Linked DNA regions of Elephas maximus indicus. The main gene of each other region encodes a partner of the protein of the gene in region 2 in a complex. Links are inferred from orthologs where the notes say so. Each region holds a gene or a part of one and is shown on either strand. Other genes may lie near its edges. The genes, in order: RPF2, RRS1 and HEATR3.

Region 1 (3,922 bases), on a different chromosome or scaffold from region 2:
AGTTTAAATCATCTCAGGGATTCATCCAGCCTCCACCGCTCCAGAAAGCCTAAATTCCATGAGAATTTGAAATTTTGTTCTGCATTTTCCCCCAATTGATCAGGATTCTTCCTTAGGATCTTTGATCAAGATGTTCAGTAATAGTAGCTGGGCACCATCCAGGTCTTCTGGTCTCATGGCAAAGGACACAGTTGTTTACTGAGGCAACTGGCCACCATTCCACTTCCTCCTCCTATTCCTAACTCTCCTTCTTCCTCTGTTGCTCCAGGCGATTAGAGACTAATTGCTGTACCCTGAATGGCTGCTTGTAAGCTTTTAAGAACCCAGGTATGTTACTGCCTTTTCACCTTTTTCATATTTAAAAAAAAAAAAAAGGACTCAAATGTATACTGTTGTTATTCTTCAATCTTAAAACAGTCAAACTATACCCTGCACATAAACTGCTGATGAACCTGTAGGCATTTACTGAACACAGCTTATTAATTCAAAGCCACATAGTAGGCTAATTATTTCTTCTCTTTCTTCCAGGTGTTAGACCATAATGCCTGCCAGGAGGTACATACTGTCCCACTCCATCATTACTTCTGAGAAAGTAAACATTTCTGCCACCAAAGGGGAATAATAATGGTTGACGCTTTTAAAGATACACTGTTTTAAGGCTTAGTTCTCACCACAACCCAATGAGACAGGTACAATTATTTTCATTTTACACATCAGACAATTGAGGCAGAGTGGTAACGTCCACATTAGTAAGCAGACAAATCCTCAAATCCCAGATTTCTAATCACTCAGTAAAACACGAAGAGAAAATAAATCTATTATTCTGATTGTAAGATGTAGCTGTAGAAGCAGCATGTTTTTACACATTTCTGTTCAGGAACGGTGCTGTTACTTCTGCTAACTACACTTTTCCAACAGTTTTTGCCATCTACTGAAAGAAACCCAAAACCCACTGCCATCGAGAAAGAACTCCTCCTTAAATAACTGTGACTCTCCGTCTTCTAGTATTACGAACAGTCCAGGAAAGAAAAGAAAAACAGCACACGTACAATTTAGTTTCCTATGCAGATTTTTTTTAAGTCTCCTCCAGACAAAGTGCATATAAAACTTGTACTCGTTTACTGGTTGAAAAAACACAAGAAACATTTAGTGTGTCTATATGGCAATAACAGTGTTATATACTCTATATCTCAGGTCGTTTCTCACTTCTCATTAACCAATAATCAAGGCAATAGCTTTTGTTGCCCAATTAGACTGTAACCTAGCCTTATTCATCTCTGTAGTCAAAGTATCTAGACAACTATATAACAAGTAGGCAGAAATCTCTGAATGACTAAAAAGAAAAACTCTTGTTTTGATTACATGTTACGTCAGGTAAGTCGCAAGAAAAAAACCATAGCAAATAGCAGGAATGTCTACGAGATCAATAAATAGTTTCTGAATGAATCTAAAACAGTATCACTCAAATATAACTCAGAAAGTGTACAAGAATGGGAGGAAAAGAAAAAGCGGTATGTTCTACGTGCTGTAGAAAAGTCTTTACAAACATTCTTGCAACTAATCCTCAAAGTTCTATTAAATATGACTATTATAATCTCTATTTTACACAGTAAACTGAGACTGAGGAAGATTAAGTGGCAAAAAGTTACAAGCCTTTAAATGGACGCGTCCGCATTGTCACCTAGATCTGTCAGGTTCCGAGGTCTGTGCTCTTAACCTCTCGCTGTACCATTCTCACACTTCTACGGAAGCCAGGCGTTTTTAATCTCCAAGGAAGGCAGCGACAAACGTCTCCGTCCCACCTGCATCCCGCGGCTCCCACTTGTGGACTTCGGCGCTCTTAGTCTCCCGGCCGCCGGAGCAGACCGAGACCTGATTTGGAGGACTGAACAGCCCCACCCGGACAGCACTGGCAACGCCCGTGAGAAAGGAAAGCGGTGCCAAGAGGAAAGCAAGCAGAGTCAATATCACTCTTTCCCGCTACAGAAGCCCCTGTCCCCAACGTTTCCGGGACGGCGACCCCGACGCACTTACACCACTCGGTCCAAAGCATCCATCGCTACCGCAACCCGAGCCAGTAAACGCACGTGCGACGCGCCAGTACTCCGGTAGGTCTGTGCCCCGGAACAAGAGGAACCGGAAATTCGCGTGACGCCACTTCCTCGGCCCGCCGCACGGTTGATTCTTGGAGACGATGGTGGTCATTTTGGATCGAATCTTGCTGTTCCTTTTGTAATGAGTTTGTGTCATGGTTCTTTCCTGCGAGTTACAGTTGCGAAGTAACACTTTAAGTAACGCTGGTTCTCACTGCGTATATACTCGGGGTCAAATATCCAGGGATCAGGTGTTATTCTTTAGAAAATTTCCCAGGATGCTTAAAAACAATGTGATACCGTTGAACTGTATATGTAGATATTGTTGAAATGGCAGATGTTATGTTACTTACATATTTATCACAATAAAAAAATTAATGAGGCATGCACACTATTGACTAAACTGTGAGATCAGTGAGGGCGTAGTTTATGACTACCACAGCACCTGACGCAAAAGGTGCTCGGAGAATAATACTGCTGATCATGATTTTTTTCCCAATTTTTAGAGATGTAATTCACATGCCATGAAATTCATCTTTTAAAAGGAGCCCTGGTGGTGGTTAAGAGCTTGGCTGCTAACCAAAAGGTCAGCGGTTCCAGTCCACCAGCCACTCCTTGAAAACCCTATGGTGCAGTTTTACTCTGTCTTACAGGGTTGATGTGAGTTGGAATCAACTGCACGACAACCGGTTTGGTTTTGGTTGGTGGCTTAAAAAAAAAAAAAACACATCTATTATTTTACATTCTAGAGGTCAGAATTATGAAATTCTACCACAGGTCTGAAATCAAGATGTCAGTAGAGCTGTATTCCTCTTGAGGCTCCAGGGGAGAATTTGATTCCTTGGCATTTCCAGCTTCTAGAAAACAAAACAAACAACAACAAAAAAACCAAACCCAGTGCTGTCGAGTCGATTCTGACTCATAGCGACCCTATAGAACAAAGCAGAACTGCCCCATAGAGTTTCCAAGGGGCGCCTGGTGGATTCGAATGCCTGCCAACCCTTTGGTTAGCAGCCGTAGCGCTTAACCATTACGCCGCCGGGGTTTCCAGCTTCTAGAAACTGACTTCATTTCTTGGCTCATGGTCCCTTTCTCCATCTTCAAAGTGCATCACTAGAATCTCTGCTTCCATTGTTACAACTCCTTTTTCTAACTCCTGGGCCCACCTGAATAAACCAGGATAATCTCCTTATCTCAAGATCCTTAATCATGTAGCAGAGTTCTTTTGGCCGTGTAAGTAACATATTGACAGTTCTGGATTGGTTGCTGTTTTTGAGGTGGTATTAGGAGAAGTGAGGATTAACTAGGGTTTGGATGTTGTCATGAAGCAAGAGCAATTTAGCAGTTGGGTGTCCCAGGAATAGATGGGTATGGCAAAGTGGGCTGAGTGGCATAATTGATATAAAAAACAAGAAAGTAATCAGTCAAGGAGAGGGTCCTTATATTTTACAGCTGTTGCATGACCTTGGGAGAAGCAATGTTCTCTGTTAAATTTGCATCTGGTTTTGTATCTGTACTCCCACCCTGATGAACTAACCATGGGACTGCTTTTTTTTTTCATTCTAAGCTGATTTTCACTTTCAGTTTCAGACAAGTTTTTATTCTTTCACATTTATTCAGTTAATAAATATTCAATACTACCTAATATGCAAAAGGAAACCCTGATGGTGCAGTGGTTAAGAGCTATGGCTGCTTACCAGAAGGTCAGCAGTTCAAATCCACCATTCGCTCCTTGGAAACTGTATGGGGCAGCCTACTCTATCCTATAGATTTGCCATGAGTAGGAATTGACTCAGTGGCAATGGGTTTGGTTTTTCATTGGTTACTAT
Region 2 (3,922 bases):
ACTGCCAAATCAAAAACGCCTGAAATCAAAACCTGAAAAAACCCTGACAATTGGGAAGAACTTAAAAGGTGTTAAATTAGCAAATACTGTGAACTGCTTGGTTTTTGATGTTGTTGTTCATGGTACCATTAAATAGTTTAACTTGATCTTAGCTAAAACTTTCCACAATCACACTGTATTCTGAAAGACCTTAACAGTGTCATGTTCCTATCATTCTCAGGGGAAAACTTGGTTAATGATGGCCCAAACCAAAAACCTCCACCTTTAATTTAATCAGAAAGTATCTGAAGACAGTAACATTTGAACGTCTTTGTTTTTAATAACCGTTACACATCGACAATGAAATCTGATTTTTTTTTCACAGAAACCTCTACAAGTACCTTTGTAAGAGACTACACAGAAAAACTGAAAGACAAATTCTCCCTTTTCCTATCAACTGTCAGACTAAAAACAGCTGGGTGGCCCTTTGCTCTACAGCAGCACAAAAGTGCCCCTGGGTTTTAGATCAACTATGAATTCTTTTCAGATCTTTATTAGGGAAAGAGACTGATGGGCAGAAAAGTACACCAGGACAGCCATAAACATTTTCCCTTCTAATCAAAGCACCACCACAGCAGCCGCCAAGGAGTCAACTCTGGTCATGGCGACCCTGTGTGTCGCAGACAGTGCTCCACAGGGCTCTCAATGACTGATTTTTCAGAAACAGATGGCCAGGCCTTTCTTCCGAGGTGCTTGTGGGTGAACTCAAAACTCCAAATCTGTTTGGCAGTTGAGCGAACCACCTAGGGACTCCTCTAATCAAACCAGCTCAGGTCAATCTGACAGATAAAACAAAAAATAACAATGATCCAATTAAAGACTTTGTGGGTCTCTTTCTCTGGTACCCTATTTAACATGAAGCTAAAAACAAAAGAAAATAAACCAAAAGAAAAACAAATTAGGGACTTAAATATCCAGAAAACTTTAAATATTTTCTGGATTAATGAGGATTATTAGCATTATTTAGTTACGCCCACACTTATATTTACAGTGAACCAATAGTTTTCAAAGCGTGAAAAAGCTTAATATCTTTTTTTCAAACAAACATCTGTTGTACACCTTCAATACACTTGGTAACAAAACAAGTATGAGTTTTTCTAACTAAAGTGGTCTCTCTGAAACCATAATATAGCTGCTTTGTGTTTTTTCTAAAATGAATAAAAAGATTCTATACCTGGTATTCAGATGACAGGTTTCACTTGATTTCTACCAAAAGAAGTTAAAAGTAACACTGGATACAGACACAGCTTTATTAAATAACCTTTAAAATAGTTACTTTAAAGCCCACTTGAGAAAATGTTTGTAATCTTTCCTTTCCCTTTGCTTTGATAAAAATGAAGAAACGTATAAATCAGTAAGTCTCTGATATATGACCAACTCTCTCTTGCCCTATAGCCAACATTAAAAAGAAAAAGGCTGTTTTAAGAATAGACTCATTCCCACTGTCCATCAAATTCTTGCCCTAATTCTGATGCCCTCAAACGCGTCCTTTAAACTCCAGCCAAACCCTCCGTTGCAGGAATAACACTCATTTGTAGAGTCCAACACTTAAAATACCCTCTTGAAGGGAGGGCAACACTGTCCCTTTAACCTCAAGTTCAATGAAGGCAGCTGCCACTTTCTTGTGCATCCCGCTACTTTAAGTTTAACGTTTAGCATAGTTTTTGGTTTACAGAGGGGACCCAAGGGTGAAAACTATTACTTCCTCCTCTTTCCTCCTTGGTGCTGGCCTCCCTTCTTTTTGCCACCCAAGCCAGGAGGCCCAGAATTAATCTTGCCTCCAAAGCCCCCTTTTCTCCTCCCTTCCAGGTGGGGCGGGCCCCCTTTCCTCTTGCCCCCAGGGCCCTGCCGACCCCCCTTTCTCTTGCCCTTCTGGCTCATCTTTCTCTTCTTGGCGGCCTCCTCCTGGTCCTCCTCCCTCATCTGCTTATTGGTGGCCCTCGTCACGTCCAGCTGAGGCTTTTTGCTGTTCATGACTCGCAGCAGCTCCAACTGGCTCTTCTTCTCGGCTGCAAAGTCCCCGAAGAGAGGCTGAAACTTCCTCTTCTTGCCGGAGCCCCGAGGCGCCTTCTCCTTGGGCAGACGCTCCTGGAAGCGTCCCACAGAAGCGGTAGAGACTTTGGCCACTTGCATGGCGCGGCCCAGCTCCTCCTTGCTCTGGTGTCCAGTTGGGTGCATGCCGGCCGCACTGGGTAGCTGCATTTTGTGTGCACGGGCCAGGTTACGCAGCCGGTTCAGTTCGTTCTTGGCCACCCGTTCCTTCTTGGCCTGAACCCGCTTGGCGAACTGGTCCTCCAAGGGGTCGGCCCTGCCAGGCACCTCGATCAGCCACTCCTTGGTGTCGTCGCGGGCGCGCTGGTAGCCCCAGCGGCGCCGCCACTGACCGCTCACCTCGTCCCACACCAGATTGGTCTTCTTCTTGGGTCGTATGCCTTTCAGGCGCGCAAACTGCTGCCAGCGCGTAAGCGGCCGCGGCCGGGGCACCGGCTTCTCGCGAGGCAGGCGCGTGGTGGGCTCGGGCAGCCGTGCCACTAGCGCCTCCTCCACGCGCTCCGTGGGCAGCTGCCACAGCTGATTGATGAGCAGCTGCGTGTTGTCCCGCGCCAAGCTCCGCAGCTCAGCCTCCAGTGTGGGTCCCGCGCACCGCAGTCCCGTTGGGGGGTTCCGGTCTGAGGCCAACAAATTGCCTAAGTCAAACTCCAATTCCAGTTCCTTATGCACCGTGATACGCTGCAGCTTTTCTGCCTCGTCCCGCTCCGCCTTTGCTAGTAGCTCCTCCACGCTCTGACTCTCCATGGCTCTGGTTCAGCTCACTAGCTCTGAGGCTGAGCCTGAACTCACTTTTCCGCCGGCGCCGGTTCAAGTCCGGCAAAACAACCACGTGCAGACGCCCAGATGCTCGGTCCGGAAAAGAAAGCTTCACTTCCGGAGCATCCGGAACCGGCTTGCCGTCTGGGTGACCTTTCCCCAAAAGCCGGCAGAGGGCGGTGTTGGAGAGTTTATGGTATTAGAGGCAGGGCCGTTCGACTTGCGCCCGGATGTAGGCGGAGCTGGCACGAGTTGCGCGGACTACAAGTTCCAGAGCCTGATTGGGACCGCGGCTCCGAGATTGCGGGTGGGGGCCTCGGGGCGGGGCCTCGGGGCGGGGCCAATTGCTAGGGCAGGAGATGAAGGGCGTTCCGGAGCGACGGTGTTACAAGTTCAGGTTAAATATCTTGCAAAGATTTGTAGCCACCCAGCTGTTCTTGGGCCCTAATCCGCTCACCAGGTTCTAGGTGTGGACACATCGCACAGATAAACGTAGAGCTAAGTGCAGAAGAAGGTTTGGGTCGGTTTGGGAGCGGGCAGATGGCTGGTACTTCAGAGCTCCGGGGCTTTAGCTAAAGAGCACCAGGGACGTCTCGAATTTGCCACTTAGGAGCAGTTTGACCTTCCTCTGTTTAACTTGTCTGGGCCTATTTTAAAACGTGTAAGATGCGAGACTGTTAGGAAGCTAAATAAGCTAATGTGCCCCAAGGGAGGCTTAGACTAGGCCCTGGAACATGGGCGAACTGGTCAATGCATGTCAGCCTAAAGCTAATTATTTAATATTCATGATGGCTCTGGGAGGTAAGTTGAAGAGGCAGTGTTACATTGCGGTTAAGCACCAGGTTCTTGAGTCAAATCACCTAAGATCAGATCTGAGTTTACTGTTTACATATATCCTGGACAGGTTGTTTATAACCTCTTCAAGCCCTGTTGTTAGGTGCTGTCTAGTAAGTTCCAACTCATAGTGACCCCATGTATAACAGAACGAAACGTTGCCCAGTCCTGTGCCATCCTCATAATAATAGGTATGTTCGAGCCCATTGTTGCAGCCACTATGTCAGTCTATCTCATTGAG
Region 3 (3,922 bases), on a different chromosome or scaffold from region 2:
AGAACATGGTGCAGATTAAATAACACACAGTACACCAAGCAGTGCCTCGTACATAAGTAAAAAAACAATAAATGCTAATGACTTTTATTGTTATCAAGTTTAAACTCTAAAGAGCCAGTCATAAAAAAATAGGAGGGTCTTTTTCAATAAAGGTGATGGAGACAAAGTAACAGAGACCAGCAAAGAAATGAAAGTAGATGAGTATTCCCAGGAAAAGAAACTAAATCCTCACAGGATATTTTGAGGGAAGACAAATTAGTTAACACCAAATTACTAAATCAAAAAAAGGAAACTAAGTTTGTATATGAAAAGCTACATTTAGAAACTACCATCCAGAGGCTCTAAAAACTGCATACCTCTTTTAGCAGTGCCACTAGGGGCGTCATGACATCCTTAGTCACCATGTCATCACAAACCTCAAAACCGCCACAAGCACTGAGATTTCTACAAAAGAAGTTAAAATATATTTCACATTCAGATCATATGTCACAAAACTCTATCAAACTCTCAAATGTATTTCTATTGTTAACCATATTGAAGGTTTTGGAGAGAAAATCCGCTTATTACCTCTGTAAAGTGCTGTGGAACCTCGTTTACATCCTATGAGATGTAAACAAATGACTTGTCATGTAAGCACCCAGTTCTGAAGAGAAGGTCTGAGACAGGACACAGCTTCATGAATATAGGAACGGAGATGGGAGAAGACTTTTCCTACTCAGTGTGGATAAATCATGGCCTGATCATCTATGAAGGGGCCTTTTCTTGCAATCAAGATTTCAAGGGCAGGGGTAAAGCTACTGAGGATGACATCCCCTGAAACAGCCCTGGCTAAATTAAATTTTAAACTGAAAAGACATGCTCGCCTTCGTAGCGCACAGCACTGTGCTAGGCACTGGGGAAACAAAGACAAATCAGAAGACACACACCATCTTCCAGGAGCTCCCAGTGTGTCTACATCTGGTGGGGAGGGGGCTTTTCTACTCCTCCATGGAACGGTTAACCCTCTCTCCTCCTTCAGCTCTCAGCTCAAACATCATTCCCTCAGGGTTTTCTTCCCTGAACTTCTCACAGTACCCTTTGTAATTATTGTGAGTTGTAATACACACTTCTGTGACCATTTGGTTAATGTCTATCTGCCTCATTAAACTGTTAAGATACACTATGGACCAGGGCTATGTCTGTCTTGCTCACTATCACACGGCCAGAGCCTAACACAGTGCCTGGCATACAGAAGGCATGCAACATACATTTGCTAAACCACTGAATGAGACATAAATAGCAAATACAGAGCTACGATAAGAACCACAAATACTACTGCTCTTGCCCCCTCTGCAGTCCACTCTCTGCATAGCCACTAGGGTGATCGTTAGATCACGTCACTCCCTGCTTAGAGTAAGCCCTGGACCTACACTATCTGGTCCCGGTCCTCCTCTCCGGCCCCATCTCCTGTAATTCCTCACTCCCAGCTTTACTGGGCCACACGAACCTTTGTGCTCTCTGACGCACCACGCCCTTTGTCCCTTCACGTCTTTCCCCTAGCTGCTCCCTACGTCATGAACGCTCCTCACCACGTTTTTCCCAGGCCTGGCTCTCCTGTCCTTCAGGGCTCAGCTCAAACGTCATCTAGAGAGAACTCACCAGGCTGTTTCCCCACAGCACCTCTCACTACGCTCTCACCTACCTGTTTGCTAGTTTCCTGCCTGTCTCAACACAGGCTCTGTGAAAGCAGGGGGCCGTCCGTCGCCCTCCTGTCCTACCTGCTCGAAATCCCCTGCCCCAAGAGTAAGTCCCGGCACACTGACGGGCCTGCGCGCTTCAGAGAGGAGCAGGGGGGCGGACGCGCTAAGTCAACCGCAGGGCTCCACGGAGCTTCCAGGAGCAGGCAAGGGCGAGGCGTAGTCCAGGGCGTCTGCAAGGGGCTGTCGCCCGGAAGCAGCAGGCTGACAGTGCAGGCGGGGTCCGGGCTCAAATCCCCTCCCCACCCACCGCCGCAGTGGGGCTGAGAAGAGAAGGCGGGGCAGACGCGCTGGACGAAGGGTGCTCCCGCCCGGGCGCGAGGTCCGGGGGAGCTGGCGGCGCACCCCGCACGCCCGCCCGCCCGCCGCCCGCCCGCCGCCGCCCACTCACCGGAGCGCGCCGGCCGCCGTCTCCCTCACCGCCAGGCTGGGGTCCAGCAGCAGCGGCCCGAGCATGCGCACGGCGTCCCGGCGAGCCAGCCCCGGGCACAGCCGCCGCTGCTGCACCAGCCGAGCCAGCCCCGCGCAGGCGCACTCGCGGACCTCGGCGCTCGGGTGCTGGAGCTGCGGACACGGGCGGGACGTCAGGGCGGGGCACGCACGGGCGGAGCCGCGCGACCCCGAGAGGACAGCGCCCGCGAGGGCTCCGGGGACGGCGCGCCGCCCTGCCCCCGCTCCCGGCCGGGCCCTCACCTCACCTTCTCCAACAGCTCCGCCGCCGGGCCGTCGTCCTCCTCTCCCTCCGTGCCGTCCGCCGCCGCCTCAGCCTGACAGTCGCCCGTGGGGGAGAACTGAGGTCGCTTGAAGCGCTTCGTCCGGCTCTTGCCCATGGCGTGTGCGCTGTGGGAGCAGAGGGAGCGAGGAGGACAGCAGCAGACGGTGGGGGCTGCCAAGCCTGTGACAGGGACTTGTCCCAAAGGGGACTGACTTCGTGCCGCTCAGCTGGACCGAACACGCATGGGGAAGCAGTGCGCAGGCGCGTGGTGCGTCTCTGGTGAGGAGGGGGCTGGCGCGGAGAGCGCGCAGGCGCAAAAGAGGGGATGGGCGGAGCCAGACCCGGCAGAGGGGTGGAGTCCCGTGGTTTTCCGCGGACGTGGGAGGAGGCTGGATTCCGCCTCCTTCCGCCCTTGTGGAGTTTGTCAAGTTATTGAACCCGGCCAAGCCTGTATTTCCTTTCTAATAAATAGAATTAATAGTACCTAATTTGCAAGGCTATTGTGAGGCTTAAGTTATGAGTTTGGGAGTTATTCCATTCCTTTTCTATGCTCTGAAATGCCTTTAGTAGTGGTGCTAACTCTTCTTTGAAAGTTTTGGAATTCTCCAGTGAAGCCATTAGGGCCAGGGCTTTTTTTGTTGGGAGTTTTTAAATTACCTTTTCAATCTTTTTTGTTGTTGTTGTTGTTGTTATAGGCTTATTTAGTGGTTCTACCTGTGTTTGTGTTAGTTTAGGTAGGTAGTGTGTTCCCAGAAATTTTTCCATTTCCTCTAGGTTTTTAAATTGTTAGAGTACAGTTTTTCATAGTATTCTGTTATGATTCTTTTAATTCCAGTTGGGTCTGTTGTGACATCTCCCATCTCATTTCTTATTTGGGTTATTTGCTTCCTGTCCTGTTTTTCTTTTGTCAATTTGGCCAGTGGTTTATCGGTTTTGTTGATCTTTTCGAAGCAGCAGCTTTTGGTCTTGTTAACTCATTCAATTGTTTTTCTATTCTCTATTTCACTTAATTCTTCTCCAATTTTTATTATTTCCTTTCTTCTGATGCCTGAGGGCTTCTTTTGCTGCTCCCTTTCTAGGGTTGTAGGGTTAATGTTTTGATTTTGGCCCTTCTTTTTGGATGTGTGCGTTTATTGCTATAAATTGACCTCTAAGCGCTGCTTTTGCTGTGTCCCAAAAGTTCTAGTAGGGTGTGTTTTCATTCTCATTTGATTTTGTAAATTTCTTTATTCCATCCTTAATTTCTTCTAAAACCCAGTAGTTTGTGAGCAAGGTCTTGTTCAGTTTCCATGTGTTTGATTTTTTTTTCCTTGCTTTTTCTGTTATTGATTTCTACTTTTATGGCTTTATGGTCAGAAACGATGCTTTGTAATATTTTGATGTTTTGGATTCTGTTAACATTTGCTTTGTGGCCTAATATGTGGTCTATTCTGCAGAATGTTCCATGTGCATTGGAAAAGAAAAAATACTT

What was found.
Region 1: RRS1 (region 2) and RPF2 share a complex: the UniProt entries of both Homo sapiens proteins name them as parts of the hexameric 5S RNP precursor complex. The link is inferred for Elephas maximus indicus from reciprocal best matches to the Homo sapiens genes RRS1 and RPF2.
Region 3: RRS1 (region 2) and HEATR3 share a complex: the UniProt entries of both Homo sapiens proteins name them as parts of the hexameric 5S RNP precursor complex. The link is inferred for Elephas maximus indicus from reciprocal best matches to the Homo sapiens genes RRS1 and HEATR3.

Annotation. Positions count from the first base shown.
Region 1 is NC_064819.1:176,906,356-176,910,277, reverse strand, and holds the start of RPF2 (ribosome production factor 2 homolog), read right to left. Parts: upstream 2,143-3,922; 5' UTR 2,058-2,142; coding exon 2,035-2,057; coding exon of another isoform or gene 2,031-2,034; intron 2,022-2,030; exon of another isoform or gene 1,654-2,021; intron 1-1,653. UniProt on the Homo sapiens protein: Involved in ribosomal large subunit assembly. May regulate the localization of the 5S RNP/5S ribonucleoprotein particle to the nucleolus.
Region 2 is NC_064833.1:76,193,602-76,197,523, forward strand, and holds RRS1 (ribosome biogenesis regulatory protein homolog), read right to left. Parts: upstream 2,941-3,922; 5' UTR 2,836-2,940; coding exon 1,738-2,835; 3' UTR 1,214-1,737; intron 819-1,213; 3' UTR 265-818; downstream 1-264. UniProt on the Homo sapiens protein: Involved in ribosomal large subunit assembly. May regulate the localization of the 5S RNP/5S ribonucleoprotein particle to the nucleolus.
Region 3 is NC_064839.1:5,604,837-5,608,758, forward strand, and holds the start of HEATR3 (HEAT repeat-containing protein 3), read right to left. Parts: upstream 2,707-3,922; 5' UTR 2,567-2,706; coding exon 2,435-2,566; exon of another isoform or gene 2,430-2,434; intron 2,301-2,429; coding exon 2,128-2,300; intron 2,078-2,127; exon of another isoform or gene 1,682-2,077; intron 445-1,681; coding exon 357-444; intron 1-356. UniProt on the Homo sapiens protein: Plays a role in ribosome biogenesis and in nuclear import of the 60S ribosomal protein L5/large ribosomal subunit protein uL18 (RPL5). Required for proper erythrocyte maturation.